Schizosaccharomyces pombe: one gene and its partners. Changing the gene in region 1 together with any one later gene gives a genetic interaction. Each region holds a gene or a part of one and is shown in the gene's direction. Other genes may lie near its edges. The genes, in order: alg8, ubc6 and siw14.

Region 1 (4,274 bases):
GCTAATGTTCTTGCAAGAAATGTTTTTGGAGGAGCTGAACTTCTTTCTGGTAACGTTTCATATGGAACTCGTAATCGGTCTACCATGTCCGTGAACTTTGAGACCCCAGTAAACGCAGATCCTAAAACCCGTTTACGATTCAATGGCCACAGTAACTTGAGAGACAATAAATCTATTTCGAGCCATGACTTACTTACTAAAGGAATTACGCTTTCATTGCAGCATCAAGATCTGTGGTCTGGCGAGCATTTACTTTCACAAAACTTATTGTGGAGGCAAGTTACTCATCTCACTGAATATGCTTCTCCAAGCGTACGACTTGAGGCCGGTGATTCATTAAAACAATCTCTTTCCTATACGTATACACGCGATACACGCGATCATCTTATGATACCCACGAAGGGAGATTATGTGAGGCAGACTTTAGAGCTCGCTGGGTTCGGATTTCTTCCAGGAGATGCGAGCTTTCTAAAATCAGAATTCTGGGGTCAAAAAGCTGTGGCTTTAAATTCTTCTAGGTCTGTTTCTCTTTCTTTGTCCGCCCGGATTGGAGCATTGCATAGTCTAAATAAGAAGCAAGTCAGTCTGTGTGATCGTTTCATGTTAGGCGGTTCAACTAGCCTTCGTGGTTTTTCAGAAGACCGTATAGGTCCAAAAGATGGCAGGGATTCTTTAGGCGGGACCGCATATATGGCTTTCTCCATGAGCTTGCTATTCCCTTTGCCAAAAGTTGATGCTTCTAAACCATTTCGCTTACAGTTGTTTGCGAATGCTGGAGGGCTATCGAATTTGACTTCTCCAAATCCATGTGGCACATACAAATCAATACTTTCTAAGCCTTGTATCTCTACAGGCTTAGGTTTAGTCTATGCAACTCCCGCTGCGCGTTTCGAGCTGAACTTTACCTTACCAATCGCTACTACCGAAAAGGATATCGGTCGTAAAGGCCTGCAATTCGGCGCGGGTATCGATTTCATGTAATGATTTTCCTTTTTAACTTTTTACTTTAATAAGGTCTCTACTATTCCCATCTCTGACTTGTCTGTCTTTTTCTCTCATTTATGCTAATGATAAGAATGTTACGGTTGACAATTGCTTTTACTGCGTTTGAATTAAATTTTCATGCATATTTATAATTGTCATACAAATATTTTGCTTTTGGTCAAGATTTATGAATTTCACAGAATTTCAATAACCATATATGAATAAATTTAAACGAAGATAGTTACATAACATCAGAGTATCTTTTGTATTTTTATTATTAAAAGAAGATTAATAATTGCAATTAGTCGAAAAATAAACTACGACTTTAAAATGAGATAGAAGAGCCTTTAATCCTTCTTTGAAGGTCTTGCTAGCTAGAAAAAGCGCATTAGTTTATGTTTGGGTTTCAGATATTTGGTTCGGAGTCTTTCCAGTAAATGCAAACCTAAGTTGTATGCAGCAGTAATTTGGTATTGGAAAATATGCTTACCAACTTTCGATTGTTTGCAAGCACGCGTATAACATGCTTTATTAATCTTTAATTTCCCAACAATAATGTTACGAGGTATATAAGTTTAACGAGGGTAGGGTCAGTTCAAAGTGTGCGTTTCAACTACTTCCATCTCTCAACTTTGCGAATCAGTCACTGGGAGGACATTCAACATTTACTTCATTTAGCTCATTGGTTTGACTTGAATGAATAATCAATAGAAATGGGAAAACTTTCTATGCTTTACAATGCAGCGATCGCTAGCACATTTGTAAAGGTATTTCTGTTCCCATCATACAGATCAACTGATTTTGAAGTCCACCGAAACTGGCTAGCCATCACCCATTCCTTACCGATATCGGAGTGGTACAAATCTTCGATTTCAGAATGGACGCTAGATTACCCCCCATTTTTTGCTTACATGGAATGTGTACTTTCATGGATTGCATACTTCTTCGGGTTTGACAAAGCGATGCTTGATCCTTATAACTTGAACTACGTTTCGCCATCCACTGTTGTATTTCAAAGAGGATCTGTTATCGTTTTAGAATTGGTTTTGCTTTTCGCGTTGCGAGAATATGTTCTATCATCAAATGTGAAGGATCAAAGAAATGCTCTACTAACAGCAATTGATATATTTCTGTCACCAGGTTTACTCATTATTGATCACATTCATTTTCAGTATAACGGTTTTCTATTTGGTTTATTACTTTGGTCTATCGTGCTGGCAAAGCCAGAAAAAAATATGTTATTATCAGCTGCGATCTTCAGTGCTTTAATATGTTTCAAACATATATTCCTCTATGTCGCACCTGCTTACTTTGTATATTTATTACGTGTTTACTGCTTTACTCCCAACTTTCGCCCTCAGTTTTTAAACATATTAAAGCTTGGTAGCACAGTAATTAGTATTTTCTTACTAGCCTTTGGACCGTGGATTTACATGAAACAAATACCCCAACTTCTCTCAAGATTGTTTCCTTTTTCCCGTGGTCTTTGTCATGCTTATTGGGCACCTAATTTTTGGGCCTTGTACTCTTTTGTTGATCGTGTTGCTTTTGCTGTTCTGCCGCGTTTTGGCTATGCACTAAATCAGGGAACGTCAATAAATGCTCCTACACGTGGTTTGGTTGGGGAAAGCTCTTTTGCTGTTTTACCAAACATCCCCCCAGCACTAACATTTTACATATGTCTCGGTCTTCAAATCACTGTTTTAATCAAACTTTTTATTAAACCCACATGGCGGGTTTTCGTGGGAGCTGTCACTCTATGTGGTTGGATAAGTTTTTTGTTTGGTTGGCACGTACATGAGAAAGCTATTCTGATGGTAATTCTGCCATTTAGCATATTGTCTTTAATTGACCGTCGGTACTTGGAAGCATTTCGTCCATTAGCGGTTTCTGGTTACCTATCATTACTTCCCTTATTATTTACTCTTAATGAAGCCCCTATAAAATATTTGTTTACAGGTGCTTGGATTGCTATGTTATTAACTTTTGACAAATGTGCGCCTGTTCCAGTTAAAAGAGTTTTCTTACTCAATAGAGTAAACATTGCTTACATTTCAGGATTTGTACCTCTTTTCATTTATAACTGTTTTATTCACAAGTTGGTTATGGGTGACAAATTTGAGTTCTTACCTTTAATGCTTTTAAGTACTTATGCTGCATGGGGTATTTTCTGGTCTTTCGTTAGTCTTCTCTGGCTTTATTTCACCGATTTGAAATGAGATAATGATATTATGATGTGCCATAAAAAAACAAAGGTTCCAACTCGAATAAGAAAAGCGATTCTGTTTTTAAGCTTGATTTAGCACAGATGAAATGGAAATACAAGGTCATTTTCATGTTGTGTTGGTTCCATAAACAAAATGTTTTGTCAGTAGATGAAATCTTAGATCTCTGTAGATGTTTTTCTTAAATTAATAGTCCCTGTCAAAAAGTCGTTTTTTTTTTAACATACTGTTGTTTCCTAAAATTGGAATTATATATTTTTAAAATTAATAGATTTACTAACACTTTTTCTTGATAATAAGCGTGAATTTGGAATTATACATTCTAAACATCCACAAATGAATCACTTAATTGACTTTTATATTTAATGTTGTATTATTAATCGTAAAGAGTTAAATTTTTCTTACTTCAGAAACCTCGTAAAATTAATGTTTAACAATATATTTTTAATATTCTTCTTGGCCATAACGATAACTCCCAATTATTTAAAAACTCACACGCAGTGAATATTCCAATCTTCTCTTTACCTACACTCCCACTTCTTTTAATTCCCAATCGACGATATGTCTAGTAATCTTATCAAATCTTTTGGATTAATAGCAATTGGAGCGATCTCGGGTGTAACTTTCACGCATTTTTATTATAAAGGATATCAAGGATCCGATGTACCAGACTTGACACCCAGGTATACCAAATTTGACTCTGCTGGTCGAGCCTTAGAATCTATATATGATTTTAATGCCACCAAATTTTTTCAATACGGCATACCAGGACCAGTGGCAGACCAAAGGGTAAACCATGGCTATATGTCTGTGTTCGATCGGAGAACACGAAATCCATTCTATGTAAGCAAAAACACCGTTTCCTAAGCTTTCTTTACCTAGGAATTATAGATCACGGCAATAGATTAAATGTTTAAATTTCTGGTCTCTCGGAGTGCATTATATTAATAATAAACTAGACAGCGGAAACCATTACACAAGAATCGTTGAACCAACGCAAAGGCAATCGCAGGTACTCTGAGTTCGTTCCAGATGATAATATTCCTGAAATGTTTCAAGCAAAGT
Region 2 (3,410 bases), 3.3 Mb from region 1:
CCCTTGAATTTTGAAGAAACGCCATAGCTTTGGTCTAGTTGAATACTCTTTTCCAAAGTTACATCGCTCAAATGATATCCGCGACTTAAAAGTTCAGAGATTATAGCTGAACGAGGCTTGTCTTCTTGACGAGCGGCTTGATCGCCTCCAGCACCTCCTTGATCGGTAGTAGAAGCAGCACCACCATCTTCACTGGTGATTTGGATTTTGTTTTGTCCAAGGAGAGCATCTTGCAAAAGTAAGGCCGTCTTGGTGGCGCTAGGGCGTTCAAATTGGATTTTCGCGGTTTGGGTTTCTCCAGATTTCTCGGTAGAGATGTTGGACACTTTACCGCAGAAAGAAAAGAAGTCTGAGATTTGTTTCTCAGTAACTTCAGGAGAGATGTTCGTTACAATAACTTGGTTGCTCATTACTTTTGTTTCAACTGGTAATATGGAGATTCAAAGTACGTTGAGTGCCATGGAGGCTGCTTTTAAGTAGTGATCATCGATGACGACATCCTCCCAATTACGATTAGATTGAGCCCAACGAAAAAACCACAAAAATGCAAAATTTCCTGACATTTCTAACTTGCCCTTAGCCTATATCACGGAAAGTTGACTTTGTGCTGCTTTGTTAATGCCACTACTTCATACTTTAAATCTGATATTACATTAATGAACGTGTGTTTTCAAAAGATTGCAATTATCGCGATAAGTGAGCCTAAATCAAAATGAAGCTGAAAATAGATGACAATTATCTTTTTATCTGAATATCACGATACAATTTTTATTGGTCACTGTAAACTAAATAGGATAACACTTAGATACTTTGCTGTACTCATGATTTCTTGACTTGGTATACTAGTTGGCTTTGTTCGTTGCATGGCAAAGTGCATAAATTGTGGAAAAAATATCCATTAAATTGCTATTACGAAGTAATTTCCGCTTCTACTATGTTTCGATAAATTCATAAACTTAGGACCGACATTAATTTTCCCGATATCGGCATATCCGGACAGTGAAAACTGATGTTTCTAGAAAACCGAATTTGCTGGATCGCCTTTACGGTCTTTCTAAAGAATGCGAAAGAAATATATGAATAGATTACCTCGCTTGTTCCTTTTCTCATGTTAGTCATCCAAATTGTTTCTTATTGAATAATGAGCAAAATTATCAGGTATATTGAGAAGGCAAGAGAAATATAAATGTTAGACCTACAATAAGTAAAACAAAGATAAGTTAAAGGCTTTCCTTGCTTCAAAGCATTTTTTAATCTATTTTCTCGATCTTACTTCCTCAATGTACATAGGTTAACAATATTTATATTTTACATTTGGGCTTAAGCTGCGTATAGAGAAAATAAAATATCATAAATATCATAGGTATATTGCTACAAAAGATAGAAATGAAAACCTCTTTTACAAGTAACTGTGTTATATTTACGAATTGGTGATTTGAATAAACCGTTGTACTTGAAGTTGGCACCTCACCTCGGAGTTTGTTGGTGTTTTATATTGATTAACCTACAAAGACACTTAGTCTAGTAGAGATTGTGCTTTGAATTTGTAAAAGACAAGAATCACCTAACTAGCCGCTAACCTGGTAATGTAACTGTGAGCGGATTATATGGTTACATGTTTTCTCACTTCCACAAACTTCACAAACACAACGATGGCGTCGAAAGGTGCTTATAAACGGGTATGGATTTATAATTTTAAGCTTCTTCTAATTATTTTAGTTAATGAAAGAATATCTAGCTCTTCAGAAAAACCCTGTTGAGCTTGTTGACGCTAAACCTGCAACTGAAAACATTTTGGAATGGCATTATATTATCACTGGCCCTCCGGACACTCCATATGAAGGAGGACAATATCATGGTATGTTTCTTTTAAATTTCCTTCTGTAATCAATATGTGCATGAACTTTTGGCTGTTGCCATCCTTTGCTAACTTTGCGTACAGGGACATTGATTTTTCCTCCCGATTATCCTTTTAAGCCACCTGCAATTCGCATGATTACTCCAAGCGGACGTTTCCAAACGAATACCAGACTTTGTCTTTCTTTTTCTGACTTCCATCCAAAATCCTGGAATCCCTCATGGATGGTTTCTACTATTCTGGTGGGACTCGTTTCTTTCATGACTTCTGATGAGATTACCACTGGAGGTATTGTAACTTCGGAGTCTACCAGGAGAACTTACGCAAAGGATACGAAGAGATTTAACATTATGGATAATCCTAAATTCTTAATAATGTTCCCCGAGTTAATTGACAAAAATAGGGAAGACATTGCCAAAGCAGCTGCTGAAGCGGCCCTAATCGAACCCCAACAAATTCACTCCACTCCTGTATCTTCCAATGAATGCAAGAAGAATGAACCGTTTAATTCAAAGCAAAGCTGGGTTAAAAGTCGCTGGAGCATAGCAGTTTTGGTGTTTTTTGCCCTTGCTTTAGCTCGTTTTTTTGGAGCTGATTCTTAAGATGTTATGCTTTGTATTTATTTTATTAACTTATGAAAGCGTTTTTGCATTTGATCCTCCGATAAAGAGATTAATGCCAAATAGCGCTTTGCCGTCCTTATATGTTTATTTTTTTTCTTTCGTTGCCTGTTGCCCCTTCATCTCTGCATCACATGTCGCGCTTCAATTAAAACTAAATGGAAGTTAATCTTTGTTCTAGTTTCTTTTTATAGACAATTGTCTCTTAGCAATTGCTTGATTTTTAGCTTACTAAACTACATTTTTTTAAATGTCGTCAAATGTTATTAAAGCTTCGACATTTCGGTAGAAAATAAAATTAAATTTTAGTTACTCAATTCATTATTTGTGATTTTCTTCAATCACTATCCAACTCGTTGCATATCCAGCGGCCACAATATAGGCCCAGCCTGGTAATTGAAGAGTTTTTGCATCATAAACATCTCTTTTATCATCATTCGAGGCATTTCCATGCTCATTCCAACCGTATATTAAAACACTTCCTTTCTTTGTCCTTAAAATATTGTGCTCAGTTCCACTGGCGATTTGGACGATATCACTTGCTTTTGTATGGGCCTTCTGAGCACGATCACAACGACCAAAAGCATAGACACAGCCTTCAGTACTTAATAGACTCAAGGTAGACCAGTTTGCTGATATAGAGCAGATGGAAGAAGACAATTCACTGTTATTTGCTTGCCAAGCATCACATTCTGCTGCTACATTCCACTTCTCCCCTCCTAAAACAATTACATGTCCTGTTTCTTGCAATACTGCACTGAACTGTACACCACATACAACAGCTTGAGCATGTTCAATACGCCCGAGAAATGAAACCTTGTTAACTGTTTTCATAACTACCGGTCCAAGTTGTCCTTTGCGGCCATCTCCACAACCATACAAGTTCCCTTCATTTGTAACACAAATCCAGTGTCTTAATCCAGCCGAGATAT
Region 3 (4,227 bases), on another chromosome or scaffold:
TTGCTTACTTCCTGGACATAGAATTGGCGAGCCTGAGTACTTATTTACCCGCATTGATGAGTCCATGGAAGAAGAATGGCGCAGCAAATATGGTGGTAATGGATCAAACTAATTTAACCAATGTGAAAATAGTGGTTCTATTTCCATCAATGAAAATCTGCTACACCGTTTTTTTTTCTTTTTTTAAAAGTTATTCTTGTTGGGGTACATGGAAAAAGGGTGTTTTATTGGACCTACAAATAATTACCACTGTCGCGAGCAACATTTTTCCAATGTATATTAAAGTGTAGAAGACTTCTTTTGTAGGGGTTAGATTATTAGATTCGTTTTTTGGTACTACTATAACTGTTCACCACGGTGCTGTTTATAGTAAATAAAATGATGGGTGAGCGCACACAATAATTAATTTCATATTGGAGAGTATGAGAAAGCTTCACTACGGCTTTAATTTTAATTACTGAGTCGATCGAGGTTGGCCAAATTATACATAATTGAGAAAACAGCCAATTTAAAAAGATTACTTTGTATTTTTGAGTTTATAAGGAGATTTTAAGGCAATATTAGTTAGCATCAATTATAGCAAAATTATTATGGTCAATGAGAAACGTGTTTGTAGGCATTCTTCTATAAAAAAAAGAAGTAGGTACTATCTTTTTACAGAAGAATTAACTCAAATTTAAAAACCATATGTAATTGACATTCCGGTGTTTAATATACCATGCCGTGTCTGTTGAAACATTTTAGAAACGTTTGCTTTCATTGTGTTCACTAACATGTGTAAGTAATGTAAAAAAAATGAATACAGTAATGAAAGGAAGCCTACAGCACCCCGGATTCCCATGTTGTCTCCAACCATAGTACTAACGAGGCCCTCAGACGCTTAACTGCAGTGATCGGACGGGAACTGGTGTTTTCGCCTAGGTATGGCCGTAGACATTTGCTGTATAAGTTAAAATAATTTATAGTGCTAATTATAGACAGAAGAATACTCATACTCTTTGTATAATGTTGCGAAGAATTTGCGAATCCAAATGTATTATCACTCATGAATGTAATTTGTATTGTATATTAATAGTATTTTACATGAATATTTCGATTATGTTTTAATTCGATGAGCTGCTCGGCATCACTGGTATCCTAACATTGCAGAGTTGAAACATCAAATTATTCAACTCGTTAACAATGCGGTTGCTTCCAACTTTTATTCAACTTCTAATACTTGTTTCTGTATCAGTATTTAATTCTATCCAATTTTTTTTCATAATTCCTTTTTTTTTACTGGTTTGTTTACTCAATTTTTCACACTCACATATGAACGATTATGTACTAATATAGTATCTTTCATATCAAAATATAATATTAAAGAGGTACCGTTTTTTCCTTAACAGATTGCCTCAGAATCCTATCATTGGCTTCATATAGTGCATTTTACTGAAGTCGCGGAAATTATATCGATTTATTTTGTATTGAAAAAGAATTGTTTGTTTGCACTCGATTGTAGCTTTTATAGTGTTTTTTTTTATTATGGATTGAATAATTCTTCCTATTTAGCATCTATGACTTACTGATTAGACTTACAGTGCCAGATGTTTGGTTGAAAAAAGACATATGGAATAGTAGTTTTTAATAGGATTCTCGCGCAAATAAAAGAAGGTGAAAATGCATTTTATAAGAGTATTCAGTGAAAGATTTCTGGCTTCTGTGTACCGTCCCTCTCTTCTCTAGCTTACATAAATATGCCGTAAATTTCCGTATACTTGTGCATCTTCATCGGCTCCGGTTAATTTGCTAAATACCTTACCTCACCAAGAATCTACAATATCCTCAGAAAAGTAATACATTTGGCAAAATTTGCCAAATCAGTATTTTTGTATAGTACTTTATTTCCAATTTACTGTTCAGGTCTTAACGCTTGTCGTCCTGGTACCGCTATCGTTTAGAAGTTTCTTAAGTAGTCAAATTGAGGTTGTGGCACCATCAATCGTTCATAATTAGAGAAACATTTTAAGTGGTTTCTTTATTTTTCGAATGTGCTTGGGAGGGTAGTTGATTGATGGCCATTGTTTTTCCATTCCAACTTGAAAAGAAGTTGATATCAATTACTTCGGATAGGGACCAAATTTCTATGTCTATACCCGAGGTGTCGAGTCATGACAGTTGTTTAAACGATTGTCATTCTGTGAATTCGGAAGAACAGGCAAAACCAGTTTGTTGCTTAGAGTTGAATGCCCATAAAGATGGTATCAAGGTAGTTGACACTTCCAACGATGCCTCGACATTCTCCAATTCACCGCTTGTACCAGATAATTTTGGGGTCGTTTATCCTGGAATTATTTATCGTTCTGCATGTCCACGTGCTTCTAATTTCAATTTCCTGGAATCCTTACACATCCGTACCATTATATCATTAAGACAAGAAGAGTATTCCGAAGAGGATCTCCACTACTTCACTAAACATCACATTAATTATTATCATATTGCCATGCCTGGAAGCAAACATCGGAAAAACGATTGCATTTCCTCTTCCTCAAATCCCGACATTTCAGGTAAGCTTTCCACCATCTTAACTTGTTGCACACTTTGTTTAAAAATTAAAAAGATATTTTAATTATTCTTCATTCCTTGTTTCAAGTTTTTTTTTAATTACTTTACTTTGATTAGCTAACCCGCTTGCTAGACGTTGACGATCTTGTACGAAAAACTTTACAACTTCTTTTAAATAAAGAAAATTGGCCTGTTTTGCTCCATTGCAGTCGTGGAAAGGTAGGTTATTCTTTTCTTTAGATTATTTTCTTAATTATTGCTTTGCTAACGATTCATTAAGCATCGCACAGGTATTGTAATTGGTTGTCTAAGAGCATTGATGAATTGGCCAGTCGGAAATCGTTTACAGGAATATATGTAAGTTTTCATTTATTTCATTGTTTTCGTATCAATTGTTAACCTATAAAGATCCTTTTCACATCCCAAAGAACGTGAAGTTGACGAAGAATATATTCAGAACTTTTCATCAGATCCATCTCTAAAGTCTTCTCTCAATGATTTGAAACGGTATATTAGTGATTCATCTTCAGAATTAGCTGATGTCGTTTTGTCCAGTGAGTCTCCGACAGTGCAAGCTGCTACTGTGAATGAAACTTGTCGTTCTCCCGGTTCGTAATTGAATGCCTTATAGAGTATTCCTGTTTTTCAACTTTTTCTATTTGTGTTTATCACTTGGCTGTTCCATATATATATGTCTTTCGCTATTTTGTTCTTTTTCCTAGTTATAGCTTAAATGCTTAATAGCTACCAGATGGTACATAATTAGGATTTACCTCCTACATAACATTTTCTTTTATAATTTTTAATTCTTTCATAAACTTGTTTGCTTATATATATGTACTATTTACTATCCGAGGAATTTTTACAGAATTTCATAGGAGTAAGTAACTGTACATTTGAAGAAAATACGGTGGTGTTTCCACCACGTTTTCTTCGTCTTCTTTTTTGGAATAATGGTTTTGAGGTTCAACGTTGTATATATCGTATAATATATCACTTTTTAATATTCATTCATGAAGGTTTTCCCGTAACCGACTGCGTTGGCAGTTGCGAATGTAGTTAGAGCAATTGGGTATAGTCGAAAAGATTTGATTGATTTGGTAGCATTAATCATTAGATAGGCAATTGACCAAGCTGTACAAATTCCTGAACCGTTGGTTAAGTCTATATTCGTAAGGTCAATAAATTGCGAAAAGCAAATGAAAAACAATCCTAATAGTTGCAAAGACTTGAAACTTTTTAAAACGAAATTGAACACATTCATAAAAGCTGCTTAATGATCGTGAGGAGTAATATTTGAAATCAAACGTCTATCCTTAAATTCCTATGTATTTTACCAAGGCAACATATAATGAATTGGAATACTAGTCACCAAAATCACTTACCACCACTAGCAATTGCAAGACTGAAAAAGTAATTAGTAAAATAGAACAGTACAAAAGAAATAAGTATATTTGTAAATACCCTCCTATAGCATTGAATCCACCACACAAAAGACAACCAGGAACGAAAGGACCGCCATAGGGTCGTTTAAATGCTCTAGGTACAGAAGCAATTACTGTTTTATAGAAATTAGCTAAATACTGAATTAATTAATTTCGCATACAAGCACCACCAAAGGCTAAATTTAGTTAGTTCACGTTGTGAAGTTGATTCACATACCATAAGCAGGGATATAGCTTT

What was found.
Region 2: mutations in alg8 (region 1) and ubc6 together harm fitness more than expected from each alone (negative genetic interaction), as found in Schizosaccharomyces pombe (one large-scale study listed by BioGRID).
Region 3: mutations in alg8 (region 1) and siw14 together harm fitness more than expected from each alone (negative genetic interaction), as found in Schizosaccharomyces pombe (one large-scale study listed by BioGRID).

The regions. Positions count from the first base shown.
Region 1 is NC_003424.3:4,485,491-4,489,764, reverse strand, and holds alg8 (dolichyl glucosyltransferase Alg8), read left to right. Parts: upstream 1-1,612; 5' UTR 1,613-1,697; coding exon 1,698-3,203; 3' UTR 3,204-3,621; downstream 3,622-4,274. Other genes in the region: sorting and assembly machinery complex subunit Sam50, read left to right, coding at 1-981; endodeoxyribonuclease Pnu1, read left to right, coding at 3,771-4,052, 4,169-4,274. UniProt on the Schizosaccharomyces pombe protein: Dolichyl pyrophosphate Glc1Man9GlcNAc2 alpha-1,3-glucosyltransferase that operates in the biosynthetic pathway of dolichol-linked oligosaccharides, the glycan precursors employed in protein asparagine (N)-glycosylation.
Region 2 is NC_003424.3:1,214,171-1,217,580, reverse strand, and holds ubc6 (ubiquitin conjugating enzyme Ubc6), read left to right. Parts: upstream 1-1,632; 5' UTR 1,633-1,652; coding exon 1,653-1,679; exon of another isoform or gene 1,680-1,719; coding exon 1,720-1,858; exon of another isoform or gene 1,859-1,942; coding exon 1,943-2,460; 3' UTR 2,461-2,793; downstream 2,794-3,410. Other genes in the region: RNA-binding protein Vip1, read right to left, coding at 1-410; RCC domain-containing protein Ats1, read right to left, coding at 2,800-3,410. UniProt on the Schizosaccharomyces pombe protein: Catalyzes the covalent attachment of ubiquitin to other proteins. Functions in degradation of misfolded or regulated proteins localized in the endoplasmic reticulum (ER) lumen or membrane via the ubiquitin-proteasome system.
Region 3 is NC_003423.3:1,403,293-1,407,519, reverse strand, and holds siw14 (inositol pyrophosphatase Siw14), read left to right. Parts: upstream 1-1,787; 5' UTR 1,788-2,053; coding exon 2,054-2,546; exon of another isoform or gene 2,547-2,570; intron 2,571-2,677; coding exon 2,678-2,763; intron 2,764-2,824; coding exon 2,825-2,901; exon of another isoform or gene 2,902-2,952; coding exon 2,953-3,160; 3' UTR 3,161-3,544; downstream 3,545-4,227. Other genes in the region: methionine--tRNA (Met) ligase Rar1, read left to right, coding at 1-112; protein aim19, read right to left, coding at 3,545-3,708, 3,930-3,949, 4,009-4,102, 4,151-4,165, 4,207-4,227. UniProt on the Schizosaccharomyces pombe protein: Cleaves the beta-phosphate at the 1- and 5-position of soluble inositol pyrophosphates. Has exopolyphosphatase activity in vitro but does not appear to contribute to the homeostasis of cellular polyphosphate.